Lonchura striata: one gene and its partner. Each later gene encodes a partner of the first gene's protein in a complex. Links are inferred from orthologs where the notes say so. Each region holds a gene or a part of one and is shown in the gene's direction. Other genes may lie near its edges. The genes, in order: CCKAR and CCK.

Region 1 (9,787 bases):
ATAGTTGTGACTCTTTGTCACGTGCCTAACTGGAATCTTAAAATCAAAGACTGTGGTTCTCAGTTGTTACAGGTGAGGCTTTATTTAGCAGCTGTTGCTGTTTTGAGCTTTGTTAGGGAGTTGAGTACTGTCAAGAGGAGTTGTACCATTTTGTTGCTGATGTTATAACCTATTGGGGTTGTTTCTGGTGGCAATCCCTGATCTTTCATCTATTTTTTACAAGCCATGCCATGACTGTACATCAGAAAAATCTCAGATTACCAATACCTTAGAACATGTGATGGATTTTGACTTTGGTTGATGTTGGTCTAATATGGAAAGGTTTGCTCAAAGGAGAACATTATTAGTACCAACATTTGGTGCTGTTAATATAATCCAAAAAAAGGGATCTCCTGAGCCATGTGTTGATGCAGTTTACTTGGTGTGGGGTTCTAGCATGTAATATACCCACAGCATAAGGGCATGCAGGACTATTTGCTTGCATCTCTAGCTTAAATCCTGAGCTGTGTTTTCTAGCAAATTAATATTCAAAGGGTGAAGGGACAGAAAGAGTTGTACAACATCATGTATAGCCTGCAAAAGAAACAAACACGTTTTAAAAATATCTATCTTCCTCTTTCATGAGTGTGTATTCATTCTTCATAACACTTATGTATCTGTTACAATAAGACACAAAAAGGAAAAGGATCAGCTTTAGCTGTTCAGAGAGCATTGATGTAACTTCTGCCCTCAATTTTTAATAGTTAGAGGGCTAGATGCATGGGGAGAGAAGATGCAGCTGAGCTCAGTGACAGTCTGAGAATTGCCAACATGAGGAGCAGCGTGCATGGTGAACCATTTGGGCAGAATGAGTGGACAATGACTCATTCCAGACTTCAGTAATATCACAGGGCGTCAGAAGGATTGTTATGAAATATTTACACAGATTTCTTTGAAGCAGTTTCCCTAAATTGTGTACAGAACTTGCACAGAAATCTCTGGAGCAGAAATCCCTTTTGCACCTGGAAGCCCATAGAAACTTAACCATGATTATGAAATTGGACCTGAGGATTTACAGAGACAATATGCTTTATTCATCCCTTTCATCAGAGAGAGTTGAACACTGTAGAGAACTCACAGCTATCACCTGAGAGGTCTCATTTCCTCTTTTCTGAGGAAGGTGGTAGGACAGGCTGCCTGGATGCCCATGAAGGCATCAGGACCAGCTGTCTTGCATCTCACAGGCAGGCCAGGTACTATAAACATCCAGGAAGTTCAAACACTATGAATTTGCACTTCAAAACAATGAAAAGTGGTCACCTCCAAACAATTTAAAAGATACCTTGAGATGTGTCTTGATACTAATGTGACCTAAATACAATAATTTCATCATTGAAGACCTGTGGAGTCTTCCAGAGATTAATTAAGCAACACACCATGTAATACGTGCCCTTTGCAGAACCACTGCAGGGGCAGCAGGAGCACCTTGTTTGCCTTTGATCCCATCTATGGTTGGTGAATGGTATTTTGGAAATCACTGATAGTTCAACAAGGTGCTCAGAAGTAAATTTCTTCCTTATATTATTTAGTTCAGGTCAGGATGAAATAAATAGTTTAAATGCAGCTACTGTGAGACACTGATAGGACTACGGCTCAGATTGCCTTGAAAAGGTTTATGATAAATGTGTTCATGAAAATTTTGTGCATTCTCCAAAAGTGTGGCTTAGTTCTAATCTCCCTGTTATTTGTGCCTGTGAGAGTAACTCCACTGAATCAGAGGCCTAATGCCAGTATCAACCTGGTGAGTGAGAACAGAAGTAGACCATGACTTTCCATATATGTTTTTTCTAATTGTTTTATTCAATTCACTTGTCAGGACAAAAAAGACCTGGTAAGAAACATAAACCTATTTGTAAATTTGATACCAGCTACAGATATGCTTTTCCAAATTCATCATTTTACAATTAGATTTTCTATTTAACTTAAGTAAAGATCTTTGTCAAATTAATGAAGAAACAGAACAGAGTATTCTTCAGGAAAAAAGAATGAGGTAACTGTTAAATTGATGTGGTTTAGTTTTGGATGAGAAAAGATATATATAGATAGCAGGAAATGGCAGAGCACTGCAACTGTTTTGGCTGCAAGGGCAGTGTGTTCATTATATGACATTACAGGGGAGAAAAGGATTAAGACTAGAATTAAAAGAGGCAGATTCTTTTGTTATCACGGATTAGCAAGCCTCCTTCAAATATAGGGAAACATATTTTCGTATACTTTTGTCCAAACTATCAACGCAGTCATATTAAGATACCTAAATTGTTTCTTAATTAAAACCAAATTTTATTAATAAATCAGTGTTGCTAATAAAACAGCCAGCTCCAGAGAAGTTCTTGCCTAAAACTTTCAACATCCCAAATAATGCATAATTAAGTACAAGTGGACAGACACTCGGGTTTTTGTTTCTCCTAAATGATAAAATTGCATCTGCAATGAGCAGGCATTTAGTTAAAGCCTCCTTTTTTTGTCTCTTCTGAAACTTGCAGGGAAACAATGAGATGACACTGATCTGCATGGAGAGTGATCTACCAAGCAGTTAGTTAATGTAGTGGAGGGAAATAATATTACAATGGCAACTCAGAAATGTTCAAACATGAGTACTATTGGCTGTACATTTGAGTAAATCTATGCCAAATAAAAGCCTAGAAAAACAAAACTCTTTGATCTCAATATGTTTAATGCAGAAATCCACTCCAAAATGGGAGTCAAGAGTTCATAGCAAATTCTTCCTCATTTACTCTGGCAATTTAACTAGCAGATGCTGAATCGAGCTCAGCCCAGGACCAGATGGTATTCATCCAGAACTTCTAAAGGAAATAGTAAAATTATTAACTATGATGTGCAATCTATTGTTTAGAACTATGTTGTTGCCAGGGAAAAAAATTTGTGTAAATGTGATTCCAATGTTTAAAAAGCACTCCGTGGGAAGTAAACCCTTGAAATTGTGAGCCAGTCTGTAAGCCTGGCGTTCAGAGATGGAAAACTGATGAGGACTCTAATAACAGATAAAAAACTCTGTACAAATTTGTAGAGGAAAGCTGCACCTTATACACTTGGAGTCCTGAGTATGTGAACAAGGTGGTCCAGTTTGTTTTAAACACTAACTCCATAGTTGCTGGGATTTGCACAGAGTATCATTCCCTCACACATTCTGCTCTTGCTTTTGGTTGAAATTAGTACCTTCTGGAGTTCGTTATGGCTCAGTACTTACCCCTCAGCTGTTCAAGCCTGTGCTGCACCTGCTGTCTCCTACCACTGTGATCCAGCTCCTTGGCTGCCTCGCAGGGTGAGCTGTCCAGTGCAGCCTGGTGAGTTTGCCTGTTTGACAGCTCTGTGCAGCCTCCGGCCGTGGCTGCTGGCCTCACTGGCTTCACCCATCTTGCATGTGCTTAGCAAGCATGTCTTGACACTGAAGTGCCTTGAACCTGCACTGGCTTCACAGTGTTAACCACAGCCCTGGCCAGCCTCTCGCACCCAGAGAGCAAGGTGGGACTGTGCTGGGTGGGTGGGTATGGGCCACTGATGGCCAGCTGCATCCAGGGCTCCCAGAGCTACAAGGGGTAATTGAGAACTTGGAACTTTCAATGTAACTTTTCAATCTACTTTCCTACATCCCTATTCCCATTATTCGTACTATAAAGGAAAACTGGCAAGACTGGAAGAGAAAGCCAGGCTTTCCAGTCTGTGTATATCAGGTTTGAGGGGCCAGGATTTGTTATAAAGAACCTGTTACTGCCCTGCTTTTAAGTAAAAGGGATTTTAAATGTGAAATTAGTTTTTCATTCAGATATAGTAGAGATTAATTCCTAATATTAATATTTATTTCTGGACATAAACAAGCTATATACTGGAAAGTAAAAGCCCATGACTTTGTGAAAACACCAGTGAGGATGATGTTTAATAAAAAAGCCAAACTTTTAAACCACTGAGATCTTTGTGTTTTCCACTGATGTGTAAGTAATGTGCCATGATTTATCAGGTTTATCAAGTTTGTCGAGTTGTGTACAAGTTCTTGCACAGAGGAAATGTATAGGCTTCTTCTCATATTAACTGACAATTCGAATATAGTTTCATAAGATTTGATCCACTAAGTGAAATTAGTGAGTTTTTCTATTGACTTGCTGGGGTTTGGATCAGGCAGGTACAGCACTTTTGTATGAATCTAGCACTTTGCCAATTGAGATAAATGTAGCTGCTTTTATTTTTCTGAGTCTACCCTATCTTCACTTTACTCTGAAAAATATGAAGACAAGAATCATTTCCATGTAAGGAATGCCAAATCTTCACTATGTTTTTCTCTTCTCTGCTTTTATTAAGCAACTCATACCATTTTAAATGTTAGTTGAGAGACAGATTTATCACTCTCCTCACTCACTGTGTCTCGTTTATAGGCTGTGACCTCACAGGCTGACTCTCAGAAATAGTGCAGAGACATGAGTAGAAGCAATCTTGCAAGGGGTTAATGCTGTAATCTTTTTCTAGCCTGTTTATAATCCCAACAGTAGTGCAGTAACAGAAGAGGGTGGATCTAAAAAGTACCCGGGGGGGATATATGTGTGTGTGTGCATACGTGTGAGTGTGTGTGTGCACACGCTCTGCTTTTCTGAGGGGCCGTGTGTGCCCCTGGAATAAATCTTGTTCAGCCAGAACAGGACTCTGTGCTGGGTGCTCCTGCTGGAGAGTCAGAACAGCTTCCTTGCACAGCTGCCTCTCTTGTATTTCTTCTGAAGAATTCATTCAGAAACCATTTGTTTACTGAAAGCATGGGCAGATAGTTACAAACCCACCCTCTTCTTCATCAAAGCTACCCTGTGGATACTGAAGAATGGAAATAGTTGATACTAGTAGCTTCCTTGGGAATGGTACCAACATTACTGATTTCCTCTGCAATATCATCTTGGAAAATGACACTTTTTTCTGTGTGGATGATGCACCTTATCCTTCTAAAGGTATGTATGGAAAATTGTTTTTTTCCAGGCAGTTTTAGTTCTAGCTGGATGCAGAGATACTGTAGAAAGAAAGAGCTATGCAAGGCATTTTCTCTGAGAGAGTGAAAAATCAATTGCTTGTTTTTAAGCTAGTATGAGAAACAGGTAGCAAAAAATTTAGTATGTGCTGGTTTTCCAAGTTCAGAATTGAACTAGGACAAAATTTGAATATAATGCAAAAAAAACCCCACTAGCACTTTGGAGCACGAAATGCAAATATCTCTGCTAAGGACTTGGAGAAGCATGATTTTTACTCAATTCAATAATGATGGAGTGATCAGATCTGATACCATGTATGAAAATGATTTAATATGAAATCATAGCACTCTGAAGCTGAAAAAAATTTCATATATTAAAATGTGTATTGATTGCTTGATCTTTTCTTACCTTTGCATAAAATAGGATCTCCCATGGTGAGTAAGTGGTGCAGTCAGTAGCATGAGAAGCACATGTTTTAAGAAGTTGTATTTGACTCTCCAAATGTAGATTGTATTGCTTATATTGTAGATTAATGCTATGCAATTTAGCATTAATTTAAGAATTTCAGCACTTTCAGACATTTTTTGTTTGTGTAAAGACATAAACCTTCATAAAATTGAATACAGAAAGGCTTTTACCTTCTGATTAAAGATTGAAATATATAATCTGAGTTCAATACTATGCAATTGATCTTTTCTTGCGACAATTTTCAGATTTGCATCAGATAATACGGATTCTGCTGTATTGCTTGATATTTCTGCTCAGCATTTTGGGGAACATTCTGGTGATTACGGTGCTGATAAGAAACAAACGGATGAGAACAGTCACCAACACATTTCTGCTGTCACTAGCAGTCAGTGACCTGATGCTCTGCCTTTTCTGCATGCCTTTCACCCTTATTCCCAACCTGCTAAAAGATTTTATTTTTGGAAGTGCTGTTTGTAAAACTGCCACATATTTCATGGGTAAGTCTGGGATGTTTATACTTATTTTGAAGACTGACTAATGAGACAGGTGAGAAGATATTTAAAGATCTATAAAAGTCTGATTGTTTCCATCCATCATTGAAGTTACTATTATTACAAAGAAACAACTTCGTAGTGCAAATCTTCATGGTTCTGGTGTCCTTGGTCTGATCCAGCAAAACAGAGGCGCACACACAGGTAATTTTAATGACATACAGAAGTGTTTTGCTGGATGTGAAGATGTTGCATGATCAAACTTTAATGAGGAACCCAGCACATGCACTTGCTTACCCATCACCGACAAGATTCTTATCAGTGTTCAGATCACCCACCAGAAATGATGGGCTTGTACACCCTCAGCAAGGGCAGAATTTACCCACAGATTTTGGCAGCAGTGATACATAAAAAAGAAAAGAAATGGGCCAAAGTAGGTGTCATTTGCAGAGCTAAAAGTTAGCACAAGTACTCTTTGCAGACAGACCAGGTGTGATCAGAGCTAACCAGAAGACCATAAAACTCAGATATAGATTTTAGAGGCTGACTTTAAAAAGCATTACTTTTGTATGCCTTGTCATACCCCTTTTGGTTGTGGACCTAGGCTCTAGGATTTGCAAAATGTCTTGGTTGTGTATGTGTGTGTAAGTGATAGTTTGTCTCACTTTAATATTTCCTCTGCATTTGATAATTTCTTAACAAAAAAAAAAATCCAAACAAACAAAAAAAACAAAACAAAACAAAACAAAACCAATAAAAAAAACCCAAAAACCAAAAAAGAAAAAGAAAGAGAAAGAGAAAAAGAAAAAGAAAAAGAAAAAGAAAAAGAAAAAGAAAAAGAAAAAGAAAAAGAAAAAGAAAAAGAAAAAGAAAAAGGATTATGTAAAGTTTTTGCTGCTTTGGGAGCCCCTTAGTTGATTAGAGAAAGCGCTGGTCCCCTTTCAACCTGTGCCCTTGAGAACTTTGATGTAATGTGAAAGTACACACCTAAAGTGTGCGAATGGGAAATCAACATCTTTTTGTAGATAAAACCAATAAAACTAAAGGCCATGTTTAAACAATTATAATGAATTGCTGGCAAAAATATCCTAAAACATTACTGAAGCTTTGTCATCTTTCTCTTATTGCACACAGTGTAAATTACTTTATTAAAAAATCCAGTGAAATAGACCAACATAAAGTTTCCTATTATTAAGGTGTTTTATTTTAGGAGTCAGAATGTGAAGATTTTCCACTAAATGCTCAGGTAACAGAGGCATCACCTGACAAACAGACACTGACAACCATTGCATCAACTATGCTCAATTTTTCATCTTAAAATGTCTCATTTTAAGATGTAGAAAAACAAATTTTCAATTACAGATGATTTCTGTAAAGCAAACCATAACAATATTGGCATTTGATAGTCTGACACATATTCACAAAGACAAATAAAACTCATTTACTGAAAGAAAAATTTGTGGCAAAGTTAAGAGGAAATATTTATAATTTAACAGTGGTGAACTTGGGCACCTCAATGACAGAAACACATACAACCACACTATACTTTATAAAATATGAACAGAAAAAATTGAGGGTACTCGAAGGACAAAGATTCTGCTTTATGACTTCGTTTCTCCTTGTTTGTAACTCCATTACCATCTAATTAAAAAGTTGTAATAGGATTAACTCTCTTGAATGAGAAAATCAGATCACAAGTGAAGCAGGACACTCATAAAAATTAAAACAATAAAAAAAGGACTGTGAACATCTGTGTTAAGAGGGTAATTAACTGATTTCAAATGCTTTGTTTGAATTTCAGTGCAATTAGTGAACAAACCACAGTAGCAAAGAGAATAATTAAGAGTAAAATTGTCTTCTTTCCCTGTTACCAGAATTTTATTATTTGATAGTGTGTATTTCTTCTTGGACTTTGGGAGTAAGAGAAGTGCAGAGCAGGAATATCAGTCTGGAGCAGTCTGGAGACCCAGACCCACTGCCCACACATTCTTCACTGACTTCATCAGTGTGGTGTTTATAAATATTTTTGCTTATAAACAGTTTGCTATATTTTTAAATTTTTGTATGCATACAGCAAGCTACTAAGACCATTTGAACAAAACATAAGCTTTAAAACAAGAGAATAACTTTTTTCTTTATTTTATATGCATAGGTGTCTCTGTAAGTGTCTCCACCTTCAACCTGGTTGCCATATCTTTGGAGAGATACAGTGCCATTTGCAAACCACTGCAGTCCAGGGTCTGGCAGACAAAATCTCACGCTCTGAGAGTGATTGCTGCGACCTGGTGTGTGTCCTTCATTATCATGTCACCATACCCAATCTACAGCAAACTGGTACCTTTCACCAAGTACAACAACACCACAGCAAATATGTGTCGGCTCCTTTGGCCAAGCGATGTCATTCAACAGTCTTGGTAAGAATAACTGGCTGTTAGCAAATGTGTAATTACCTGCTGGAAAATGGGATTTTGTGGTAGCAATAAGCCTATGGAAAATCAAGCATTAACCTTCAGCAAATGTTTGCACTCTATCATTCTTATTTAGGATGTAAAAAAACCCCAACATTTTTAAGCTGCTTACATTTTGACGTTTGAATGACTTTTCCTTTGTCACAGGAACGACTGCCCAACATGGCAATGATTCTCACGCCATGGTCTGCTAAGCCCCAACTGTCACTTTAAAGAAAGCATCTGTCATTTGTAGTAGGAATACTGCTTTCACTCATTTACACATAAACTTCAACATTCTCAGAGAAATTCTTGATTAATCTTTGAGAAACACGGACACACCCCTCCGTGTGCTGCCTTGCCTGTTAATTTGTTTGAAAGTTCTTTGTAGCAGAGAAGTAGAACATGAGGCTGAAAATGTCTTATTTGAAAATCCTTTTGGTTGCTTATGAAGAATAGGCACAGAGGGAAGTGGGGAAAGACATGTTCCCAGTCCTACACATCCAGGCAGGGTAAACAGCAGCACTATCAAACAGCAATAGTACTTAGACACGGTGTCCTTGCACGTTGACTGAACACTGACTGGCACTGAGACAGCGTAAGATTTTTTTTTGATACTGAAGGTCAGTTGGGAAAAAGATTAAAGTCTGCACCATTTTGGTAGGATATATCCACCAAGAGAGTAACTTTGTGTTCATGCTTTCAGTAGTAGTCTCAGGTATTTGGCAGCATGTGGAGGAAGGGTACAGGATGAAATTCTCTTCTCTGTGTCTGCTTACAGATTCCCAGGTGTGTTACTGAGTTTGCACCAAAGTCACAGGGATCAGGAGAGACACAGGCTCATGGATGCATTTAAACATCATTATTTCCCCAACTTGTCGCCACATCAGAGAATCTGTCTAGGAGAGCAGCCTATGTGAAACCTCATAAAAGCTGCTTCCTTTACCTAAGAGATTGCCACTCCTGGGATCCCTCCTTAGGAGTTCTTCATGGCTCCAGGGATGAAAACCCACATTGTGGCTGCTCTGTTTTTGCCCACGTGTGCCACAGCCCTCTAGAAGTCAGATCTGAGGCACAATAATAGAGTAATTTGCATTGGAAAAGACCTCTAAGATCATTGAGTCCAAACATTAAAGTATTTTTAATGTACCAAGAACCCCTTTAAGAATCAGCAGATGTTCATTAATTTTCTGCAAGGCAATTTTCACACTGACCAAAACTACAGGGCATCCAACACTCATCTGGTTAGAGCAGGGAGTCGCACTCATGGGCAGAGAGAATTTCTGCCCCCTTTAACTACTGTGAGAGTGCCCATCTCCTCTGGGCTGCATAGGTGGGATGAAAGATGGTTTTTTGCCATTATAGGTTTTTCCTGCTG
Region 2 (9,897 bases), on another chromosome or scaffold:
GCATTTCTATTTAAATAGGAACTGTCAGAATAACAATTCATATTTTGCATCCAGGTTAATTCAATTTTCTTCCATATTACGAAGTATAATTTAACAGCAGAAGTGAAATAACAAGACTCTAGCTGTCCTATCTACTTACATCAAACAGAAACACTATCTCCTCTGAAGGACACTAAAAAGCCCTTATTGGCTGTCCAGTCTGTCCAGTGTCAAATTACTTTGCTGTTCTTATGTCCTGATTCTAGTTTTAGCATAGATGAAAACATGCAAATGTTTGGAAGAAAAAATGCTTAAACATTGTACTTCTTATTTATAGGACTTCCATTTTTAGGCTTTAAATTGCTTGACAACCTCAATTAGTGAAATATTCCCCTTTCCAAGGAGAGTAGTGTGGAGAAAACAATGTCTTCTACATCATTCTGTTAATTCCACACAATGGAAAAGACAATTTGTCCAGGTCCAGGCAGAGAGGTGGAGAACACATATGAAATGTACGAAATATTTTGAAAGGTACAAAAAGGTACAATGTATTTCCTTTCTGTAGTAGTCTATTTTTATAATAAATTAACTAAAATGTATATTGAAGTGTGCTGGACTGGCTTCTCCTACATAATCATAAAAGGAAATATTAATTATGGAATAAAGTATAATTGTCCAAACCATAAACAATGCCATCAGATTCCAGTATCTATGAATATGTATTTTAGTTTCATGGATAATAGCATTATCACAGCTTCTTGCTCAAAAAAAAAAAAAAAAGTCTGATGAAGCAGGTACTTCAAGTCTGAATGGCAGAGGACTCAAGGTCTGTTAGAAACTTCTCTGAAGAAGGCCAAAGACTCTCTTGAGATGCATGACATATATGTGTGGTAGCAACAAGCAAGAGAAGCTCCAACATAACCCCCAAAGTACTGCTGAAAGCATAGAGAATTTGCCAGCAACAAGCACCTCATATATCTTTGATATTTTTATCTAGCACATTGATTTCCATTTCCAGTTTTCAGCTTGCACAAAAGCCCCTATACTGCGGTCAGTTTGGAAGATACATATAGCAAGTTCCCACAGAAAATCAGTTTGGTCTTTCAGAGATGAAAATAAACAAACACACAAAAAAACATATAAAAAAGCAAGTGATTTGGGATTGGGTGGTCTCATAGAAGCAACTGTGATTTTTTTCTGTTCCACTTTGCCATATCTTCTGGAAAGTACACGGAACAAAATTTGAAAACATCACACAAGTTTTCCAGTTGTTCTACAGGAAACTTGCATACCAACTGTCTGAATTTCACAGGACACAGGTTAAAATCTAATTTTCAAAAAAATCCAACCCTTCTCCTTGGAAAAGGGATTTTTCCTCTTATTTTCCTTCTTCACACAACTGCAGGATAGTGGGTAACTTTAATTACAATCCATTATTTTGCATTAGTGCACATAGTTCACACCAGGAGTACTCTTTTGAAACAGACTTCTTTACTGTGAGGCTGGTGAGGCACTGGCACAGGTTGCCCAGAGAAGCTGTGGCTGCTCCACTTCTGAAGGTGTTCAAGGCCATGTTGAGGGGCTCTGACCAACCCGATCTAATGGGAGGTGTCCTTTCCTGTGGCAGCAGGGTTGGAACAAGATGGTCTTCAAGCTCCCTTCCAATCCAAGCCAGTTTATTTCACTATGATTATTCCCACGTTATATTCTTTTGTTTCCATTGCAGAACAGTCTGTGAATGTTCAAACATCCTCAGCACCGCTCTGCTGATCTGCTTCTATGGGGCCCTTCTTTAGGTATATTATTCAGGGACTAATATATTAGTTTGATCACTGCTCTGTGAAAGGAGGTCAGAATTCTTCAGGCAGAGGACCCAGATCCCTCACTGCTGGTCACTTACCCAAAACCAAAATTTCTCACTTAGTTTTTGGGTTGGCTCTAAGCAGAGTTTACATTCCTCTCAAGTGGAAGAAAAGAGACTACAATGAAAGCATTTACATAGAAATTACTGAATTAAAATTTTAAATATTTGGGAAAAGCAAAATACCAAAAATTTATTGTCTGAATCAATGTTAAAATACAGCAGAACAATGTGCTGTCTTAAAATATATTCTCTACTTTACATCTACAATGCAGTTGGTCCTAATAATCTGTTCACCAATTCACCTGGTAATTCCAGAAAACCATTCCATTCCCTTCCCTGCTATCCTCTGCCAATTATTCCCACTTCACTGTAATCCTCCAGAGTGACACTCCATCATCTTCACATTAAAACAAACAAACACCCAACAAAACCCAAAACCAAACAAAAACCCACATTAATTTGACTAAATATAGAACAGAATATTACCTATAAGTGTCAGGGTCCAGATGGAAGTAAAAATACCCTGCATAGTGATAATCAGAAAAAAATCTAATACTTAAAAGAAAAAGAAGGTATTTCTCGTGCATGTCATGCACCTGGACATGAAGCCCCCTGGTGCCACAGGATATCTCCAAGGCTGCATCTCCAAGCTTGATGCCACTCCAACACTCACAGGCAGGCTATGCTCCAGCTCTCAGCAGAGAGACAGGGACATGAGCACCGTGGCTGATGCTCCAACTATTGGTGCCAGCCATTCCCATTGCAGGACAGACATAAAGAAATCTCTCCATCCCACTGTTCCCATGCTGCCTTCTTGCTCCAAAGCTCCCAGCTTTGTGCTGGCACAGCACAAAATGAATACTTAACCATACACACTCTTTTGCCTCCTCAGCTAAACACGAGAAAACCTTTGGCAGATAAATAGAGAAAGCAATTGAGGATAGAGGTGTCTTGATTGTCAGGAGGAAAGGTTAGAGAAACTCATATCCTTTAACAGACTCTTGCCAGAAGACAAATCTTTAAAAGCCTGCAGTATCTAAACGATTGCATCTTTCAGCTCCTCCCCAGGGATGTACCTATATTAGCATTTACTGCATTGCAGGGTTCACTTTAGGTTTAAATTTGTTTTGCATATATACTTGGGTTCTTACAATATCACTCAAGCTCTGCTGCAGTCAAAACACTTTCCTTCCTGGTGCTCTAAGGCTGAAGCCTTGTGTTAGAGCAGCCTCTGTCTCACCCCACCTGTGATAGTGCCACAAGGCCCTCCTGTGGCTGACACTCTCCAATCCATGGTGCACGTCTAGGCCCAGCACCTGACAAAAACACTGGACCTGGAACCTAGAGGTCACTGCAAATTAAATCCCAATTCCTACCTTTTGTACCACATCAATAAGTAACATAATACATAGTCTGAGTTTCTGCAGGCAACTCACCTCAGAGTCCTGCTGTTGTATTTGCTCATGCCAAACAGGCTTTCTGGTCTTCTATGTCTGCTCAAAACAATTCTAAAATGCCATTAATTAACATATATTTACCAAGGACTGAAACTTTCCTACAACTTCAAACTTTCACTGAAGAGAAAATAAGCCAGAAAATAATCACCAAGGACTGTACATACAGGTACCTGTAATACAGGTATTAAAGAATTCAGTTAGGAAAATCCAGTGTTCAAAAGTCAATTAGCCAGGCTATAGATCGTGCAGCATTGCTGACTTTAATAATAATGACATTATTCCTGTTTCCTTTATTCTATTTCATATGGCATTGCCTTTCTGTCTGTTCATGGGCACAGCTAGGGAGTTTGTCACACATATGCACACTCATACACACTCCATTTGTCCAATCCCAGATACATTTATAAGTGAACTGAGATTCCAAATAAGCTCGATGTAAATGTAGTGTGTATTTGTTCAACCAGGCTAATATGTCAGACTTAAATGCCTGCATTTATATCTGTCTGATGTGAATTATTCATGAGTGTATATTAGCAAGCGGTCTCTCTTTCTCATCTGTTAAGCTTTGAGCTGGTCCCTTGGGAGCTCATTATCTACAGTGGGTTTCACAAGGGCTTGATGTGACTCTACCAGAATTGTTATTTTACCTTCCCAGAAAGCCTGTGATACTCTGGTTCCCAGACACCTACAGTTCAATTCAGAGTCGACTATTTAATTGTCTAATAGCAGTGAGTATCTTTCCCATTGAGCCAAAGTAGTGAAATTGAATTATCTGGAATGTTACCGAGATTTTTTTCCAGAGACAGACAGAGCCATTGGACAGGTACTGCTGAAATAATTTCAGGGCTGTTACTTTCCCTAGCAATCTGCTTCGACTAACTTTTCCCTTTTCAAAGGAGGTTTTGATTTTGTTTTTTAAAAGCACTGCGGGATGATGACGCTGCCCGAAGCCAGCGCCAGTGTGAGAGATGAACGGCAGCCCGCAGCTCAGGTGCCGCATCCCGCTCGGCAACACCGTGTCAGCAGCTGGAAGGCGGTGAGAGAGCTTGTCCATCGCCATCTCCGCCACCTCCCAGCCTCGCACCACCAGGGTGACGGGACACGGGAGCCGCGGCATCCCTCTCCCAGCCGTCCGCTCCATCATCACCGGCGCCTCAGCTCGGGCGCGGCCGGGCATCGGCAGCCAGGGCTCCCCGCGCTGAGGAGGCGGCAGCAGGTCGGCTTTTCCCCGCTCGCACGGCACACGGCACCGCCCTGCCGCGGGATCTCGTGACTTTTCCCTGGATCTCCGTCCCTCGTGCCGCCGGATTCCCCGGGGTGCGCGGGGCCGCGGCGCCCTCTGCGGGCCACGGCGGGAAGGGCGCGGGGGGTGCGCGGGACGGCGTGAGGCGGGACCGGCGCTGCGGGAAGGACGGGAAGCAGCGCGCTTTTCCCCCAGGAGCCCTGGGTTAAGAGGTTAAGAGCACACACGCCCCCCGTGCCCTGCCTTGGCGGATTGGAGCCCTCTCAGCCGCCGCTTGGGCACGGCCCGGCCGGCGCTCCGCACCCCCGCACCGTCCGCACAGCACAGGCGGCTCCCCGGGGAGCCTCGGTGTCTCGGGGCTGCCCAGCTCCCTTCCTGCAGAGGGAAAAGCAGCCCACCCACTCTTGCCTCCAAACCGTAAACTCTAAGGCACAGATTCGGCGGAATGACGCCTGAGCCCAGAGCTGGCTCCGAGGAGCGGCTGCTCCCGGGGGCTGAGCTGCGGAGAGTTTCGGGGTTACCGCACGGCTGCCCCAGCCGGCGCTGCCCGTCCCTCTGCGGCCTCGGCGTGGCAGCCCGGGCAGCCCGAGCTCGAGGGCGCTTCCTCCATCCCCGAAAAGCAGGAGGCGGGAGGGCGGCACAGTGTCCGAGGCTGCTGCGGACACACCTGGCGAGCATCGCCTCGGGGCAGCACCGGCCCGGCCGAGGTCGCGGGAAGGGACGGTGTTCCCTGCAGCGGCGGAGGAGACTCTGGTAGTTCTGTGGTCAGCGAGGGAGAGCCCACGCCGAAGGCATCTCCATCCACGTCTTTTGCGGGGATCGCCCATGGCTTTATGCTTTGCTTTTTAAATAAAATGAGTGTCCCGTCTTCCCGAGCAGATGTTTAGGAGAGGAAGGGGAGGATGGAGGCATTTGTCACCGCGGGCTCAGGTCACCGGAGGCCTCAGAGAATGGAACCCAATGCCCCAGACCCCGCACCTGCCAGCGCCGGTAAGCGCGGCCAGGGCGAGCCTCCCCCGCCTCCGGGCGGCTCCCGACTGCCGGAGCTGCCGGTGCTGAGGGCATGAGCCCCACCTGGAGCCTCCGGCAGGGGACGGAGGTGTGGGCATACACCGGTCAGGAGCATTTTGATTGCCCAGCTGCAAGGCAGCAAGGCGCTTCCCTCGGGGAGGGCCGGGAGCGGCCGTCGGGGCCGGCCCGCGGGGCAGCGCCAGCCCCGCGGAGCCGCGCTCCTGCGCACCCCGCGCACCGCGGCGGGGAAGGAGCCCCGCTCCCCCCGCGGAGCGCACACACCCCCGGTGCCGGTCCCCGGGGCGGGGAGGGGCGGCACGGGGGGCTGAAGCGGGCGGGGGCCCCGGCTGCGTCAGAAATGTGTAAACACCGCCTCGGTGCCCGCCGCTATTTAAGCGGCCGAGGCTGAGTCTCCCCCGACTTCCCTGCTTGGGCACGCTCGGGACTCACTGCTCCCGACTCGAGAGGGACCTTGGAAAAGCGCAGCGGAAAGGTAGGGAGCGCCTCTTCTGACGGCGCCACTGCTGAGGGCGGGCAGGCAAAGGAAATGGGGGTGCCTGGAGCTTACCTGTGCGGCGGCTCGGCGGGCATCCCGCTCTGTGCCGGAGGAAACGCTTCCCGGCGGGGAAGAATTCCGGCCGCTCCCGACGAGCGCGGGCAGCCGGGTGGACCCCAGCGCGGGGTGCGGGGAGCGGCGCGCAGGGCTGCCCACCCTGGGCAGCTGGGAGGGGAACCGGCCAGCTGTGGTGAGACGTGGGATTTGGAAACCACAGCAAAGACATGAGTACTTAGATATGTGTGTGTGTGTGTGTGTGATATATACATGTATGTGTGTAAAAAATACAGGACTCGGGACAGCTGAAAGGTGCAATGCACCATCAGTCTCCGAGTACCCAAACCTAGACGGGTACATCACTAATAACCACACTGGAGTGACATTTTGACATTTCAACTTTCTTCACTCATCTCCTGAGAATATTTTAAACCCCCCGTGGTTTATATACCGTGAATTATTTTGACTAGAGTATGTGTTGGCTAAATAAACTTAATTTTATCCCTTTTTAAAATTTAAAGGCTTTTATTAAGTGTACGGTTAGAGAACTGAAGCAGTTCAAAAAAATTTCATGCAGCTGAGATAATCCATGTGTATTTATAAGTGAAAATTACCCCATAGCATGAAGTACTAGGTAGTTTGTTTCTTCTAAGAATTGAGAGCAATTTCACTGTTTCCAGGAAAAAAAATACCATTTCAGCTTATGTGATAAAATTATTTAGAAAACCAACATTGTTTTGCTTAGTACACTGCTTAGCAAGAAAGCAGTAGAAATCTAAATTCTCTTTTTAAGATGAAGAAGACTATTAAGTTGCACTTTATTTCTTACAGCTTTTAACTATACAGCTTTTACCCCTCCAGCTATTAGACCAAATGTTTTGGGGCAAGAGTATTCGATTTTGGTTTTTCTTTCACTGCAGCAAGATTTTGGTTTTCTTCTTTTTGTGTATGATAGGATGAAACCTCTTGAACACTAAAGTTCAAATCAATGAAGACTGGTAGAATAAAGGCTCTTCATAGAACTTGTCAAAACTGAGTATCTATAATAATAGCAAGGTTTTAATGCAATAGCAAAATACTGAAATATTTGAATCACGAGTTTTTTCACAGAGATGGATTCGAGTCCATTAAGTTTTTATGAAATACATCTTCAAAAAAAAAAAAAAAAAAAAGCAATTAAGAATCGAGTAGATCAGGGAGATACAGCACATACTAGGATCGAAGAAACAAAATTAATTACTGGTACCTTCCTCTTTAGCAAGGATATTTAGCTATTCACATGTATATTTTCCAACTTAAGACAGATCCTGCAGGTACACACATTAAAAAAGACCCAACACGAGCCTAGTTTGCTCAGAAGCCACCATCCCCAATGGAAGATGGGGTTAGGGGCTGCACAAAACGTAGTCAATCTGATCATGTAACAGCCCCCTGTCCCTTTTCTCCCCAGCAATGTACAGCGGGCTATGCATCTGCGTGTTCCTCGCCGTGCTCTCGGTGAGCTCCCTCGGACAGCAAACTCTGGGCTCGCTCGATGGGCATCCTCTGCCTGCCGAGCTGGAGCAGAGCCTGCCGGAGCATCAGCGGCACTCCCGCGCCCCGGCGGCTGCCGGGCCCCTGAAACCCCTGCAGCGGCTGGATGCCAGCAGTGACCAAAGAGCCAACATCGGCGCCTTGCTGGCCAAGTATCTCCAGCAAGCCAGAAAAGGTACTGCTTACAGCCTGCTTCTGTGCCGCTGGGATTTCCTGCAGGGGTTCCTAGGAGTTGAGATAACCCTTCTATCATTTAACATGTATTCCTAGAGAAGATAGGTTTTTCATTTTGCCTGCTTGTCCCTGAAGTAGGCAGCATTTCAAATGCTCTCTCCCAAACCCTTGCCAAAAAAAAAGGTTTATTTGACTGAGAGTCATATAAAGATAACTGGAGAAAATGTCACTGACCTTTTAGGTTATAGTTCAGCTTTTATTTTTAACTATTTTCATTGCCTTATTATTTTGGTGCTCTTTTCGGTATGTTGTATCTCAGATAAAATAATTATGTTTTCCTTGAAGTCTCTCAATTTAGTTAAAATACTCTCTTCCTCCTTCTTTTAAAGTTAGAAGAGCAGGAAGACTTTTCTGAGGATGAATGCAGATCAAATGGCTAGCCTCACTTCAGTCAGAAATCCCTGTTCCAAGGAAATATTCTGAGTATTGGATTTTTCATATATTTGTTCCCAGAGGAAATGATGATAGCATGAAAGCTTTCAAAACACTGAATTTATATTTATTAGTGCAATAATTAAAATCAATGATAAGCAAAAACATATTTGCTTCCACACACATTAATTCCTGGTAGGCTTTCGGTCTCGGGCAGCCTGGGAACACAATCTTGCAGTTATCTAAAACTGTCTCTGTGTAACAAGGACATGAAGAATCAGTAGAGGAGTGGGATTACAGGACATTCTTATAATGAGATTTATTAGCCACTTGAGGAAACAATTGTATTGCATGAGAGAAAGAGTAAAGCTATCCCTGTTGACACCTTACAGAATATATCTTATATAGGCAGAAAAGCATGCCATTGGTGCTACCAGTAAAAATGATGGTCCAAAATCATTGACCACTGAAACTTCCCCAAGAAAACATTTTTCCTTTTGAGCTGTCTCATCTCTGTCCTGCTTGGTGTCTCAATAGAGTAACACCATGGGCAGCCTAATTGCTGTGGCCTTTTGGCTGCCAACCTCAGTGAGAGCCACTAGAGAAATTTTGTTTACTCATGAAAGCTTCACTCCAGCCTTTGCCCTGTTCTACACAGAAAAGACATCTAAGAAGAAAAGAGGATTTCAAGAGAAGCCAGTAATTAGGATTAGGATTACCTAGACATACAGACATTGAGAAATTAATTCACACCTAGCTCCAGACTGTGCTTAGGATAAAGTTCACTTTATATAAGAAAGAGCTTTCTCCACATAATGCAGATCATTTAACCCTCACCTCTTGACAGCTTCCCTGCTGATCTCTATGCTCAGCAAAGTCCTATGCGTATATGTGATGGTGGTCTGCAATTAAGAGATGCCACATCTGGTTTTTGTGCATTACATGTGCAGCCATACACACTCCTCTGTGTACTCAGAACACAGCCAAATTAAAAACAACAGAAAAATTAATTACTTCCAATAGTGCCTGGAAGATTTCATCTCATGTTAACGATTTGCATGATATCCATTAAGAAACAACTTTTAGCTGTTCATGCAATTAAATGGAGAGATAATTCAGATATGAAATTCCACAATTCAGCACTGCACTTAAGGCTGTTATGGAATAAGACTGTTACTGCAGCAGTCTGCAAAGCAGAATTCTCATTACCTTTCCCCAGCATAGTCATTGTTGCCCACCCACATGGAAACGGAAGTCCTCATTCTAGTTTATATAGCCATTATATTCTCTTAAATATGTGGTTGATATTTCCAAATAGATTAACCAGATAAAGCAAAAAAAAAAAAACCAAAAAAAAACCACCCTTTGGATTTAATTTTTTTTTTGTAAATATTAATATGAGGGACATTTTCCTGCATATGTATTATTGACATATATAATTAATTCTAAAAATAGTCTGGAAGCAGATGATGAGATTCTTGTGATGTGACTAGACTAGTTAGACTCTAGTTTGTAGATGTAGTTGTTGGAGAGAAAATTCACAGGAAAACCAGTATTTATTTAAATTGTAACCTATATACAGTGTTCCCATCAAAACATTATATTCTCATTTAATGTGAAGACTCTGGACAGTACTTCAGCAATCTCTGCA

The links.
Region 2: the proteins of CCKAR (region 1) and CCK are in contact, whole or in part, in a cryo-EM structure (PDB 7MBX), measured with the Homo sapiens proteins. The link is inferred for Lonchura striata from reciprocal best matches to the Homo sapiens genes CCKAR and CCK. Residues at the interface, in NP_000721.1 of Homo sapiens: Cys94, Phe97, Asn98, Pro101, Asn102, Lys105, Asp106, Phe107, Thr118, Met121, Gly122, Val125, Tyr176, Phe185, Asn194, Met195, Cys196, Arg197, Phe198, His210, Leu213, Leu217, Ile329, Phe330, Ala332, Asn333, Arg336, Ala343, Glu344, Leu347; in NP_000720.1 of Homo sapiens: Asp96, Tyr97, Met98, Gly99, Trp100, Met101, Asp102, Phe103.

Annotation. Positions count from the first base shown.
Region 1 is NC_134606.1:18,734,157-18,743,943, reverse strand, and holds the start of CCKAR (cholecystokinin receptor type A), read left to right. Parts: upstream 1-4,861; coding exon 4,862-4,985; intron 4,986-5,716; coding exon 5,717-5,968; intron 5,969-8,114; coding exon 8,115-8,376; intron 8,377-9,787. UniProt on the Homo sapiens protein: Receptor for cholecystokinin. Mediates pancreatic growth and enzyme secretion, smooth muscle contraction of the gall bladder and stomach. Has a 1000-fold higher affinity for CCK rather than for gastrin.
Region 2 is NC_134603.1:112,405,304-112,415,200, reverse strand, and holds the start of CCK (cholecystokinin), read left to right. Parts: upstream 1-5,927; 5' UTR 5,928-6,047; intron 6,048-7,557; 5' UTR 7,558-7,559; coding exon 7,560-7,815; intron 7,816-9,897. UniProt on the Homo sapiens protein: This peptide hormone induces gall bladder contraction and the release of pancreatic enzymes in the gut. Its function in the brain is not clear.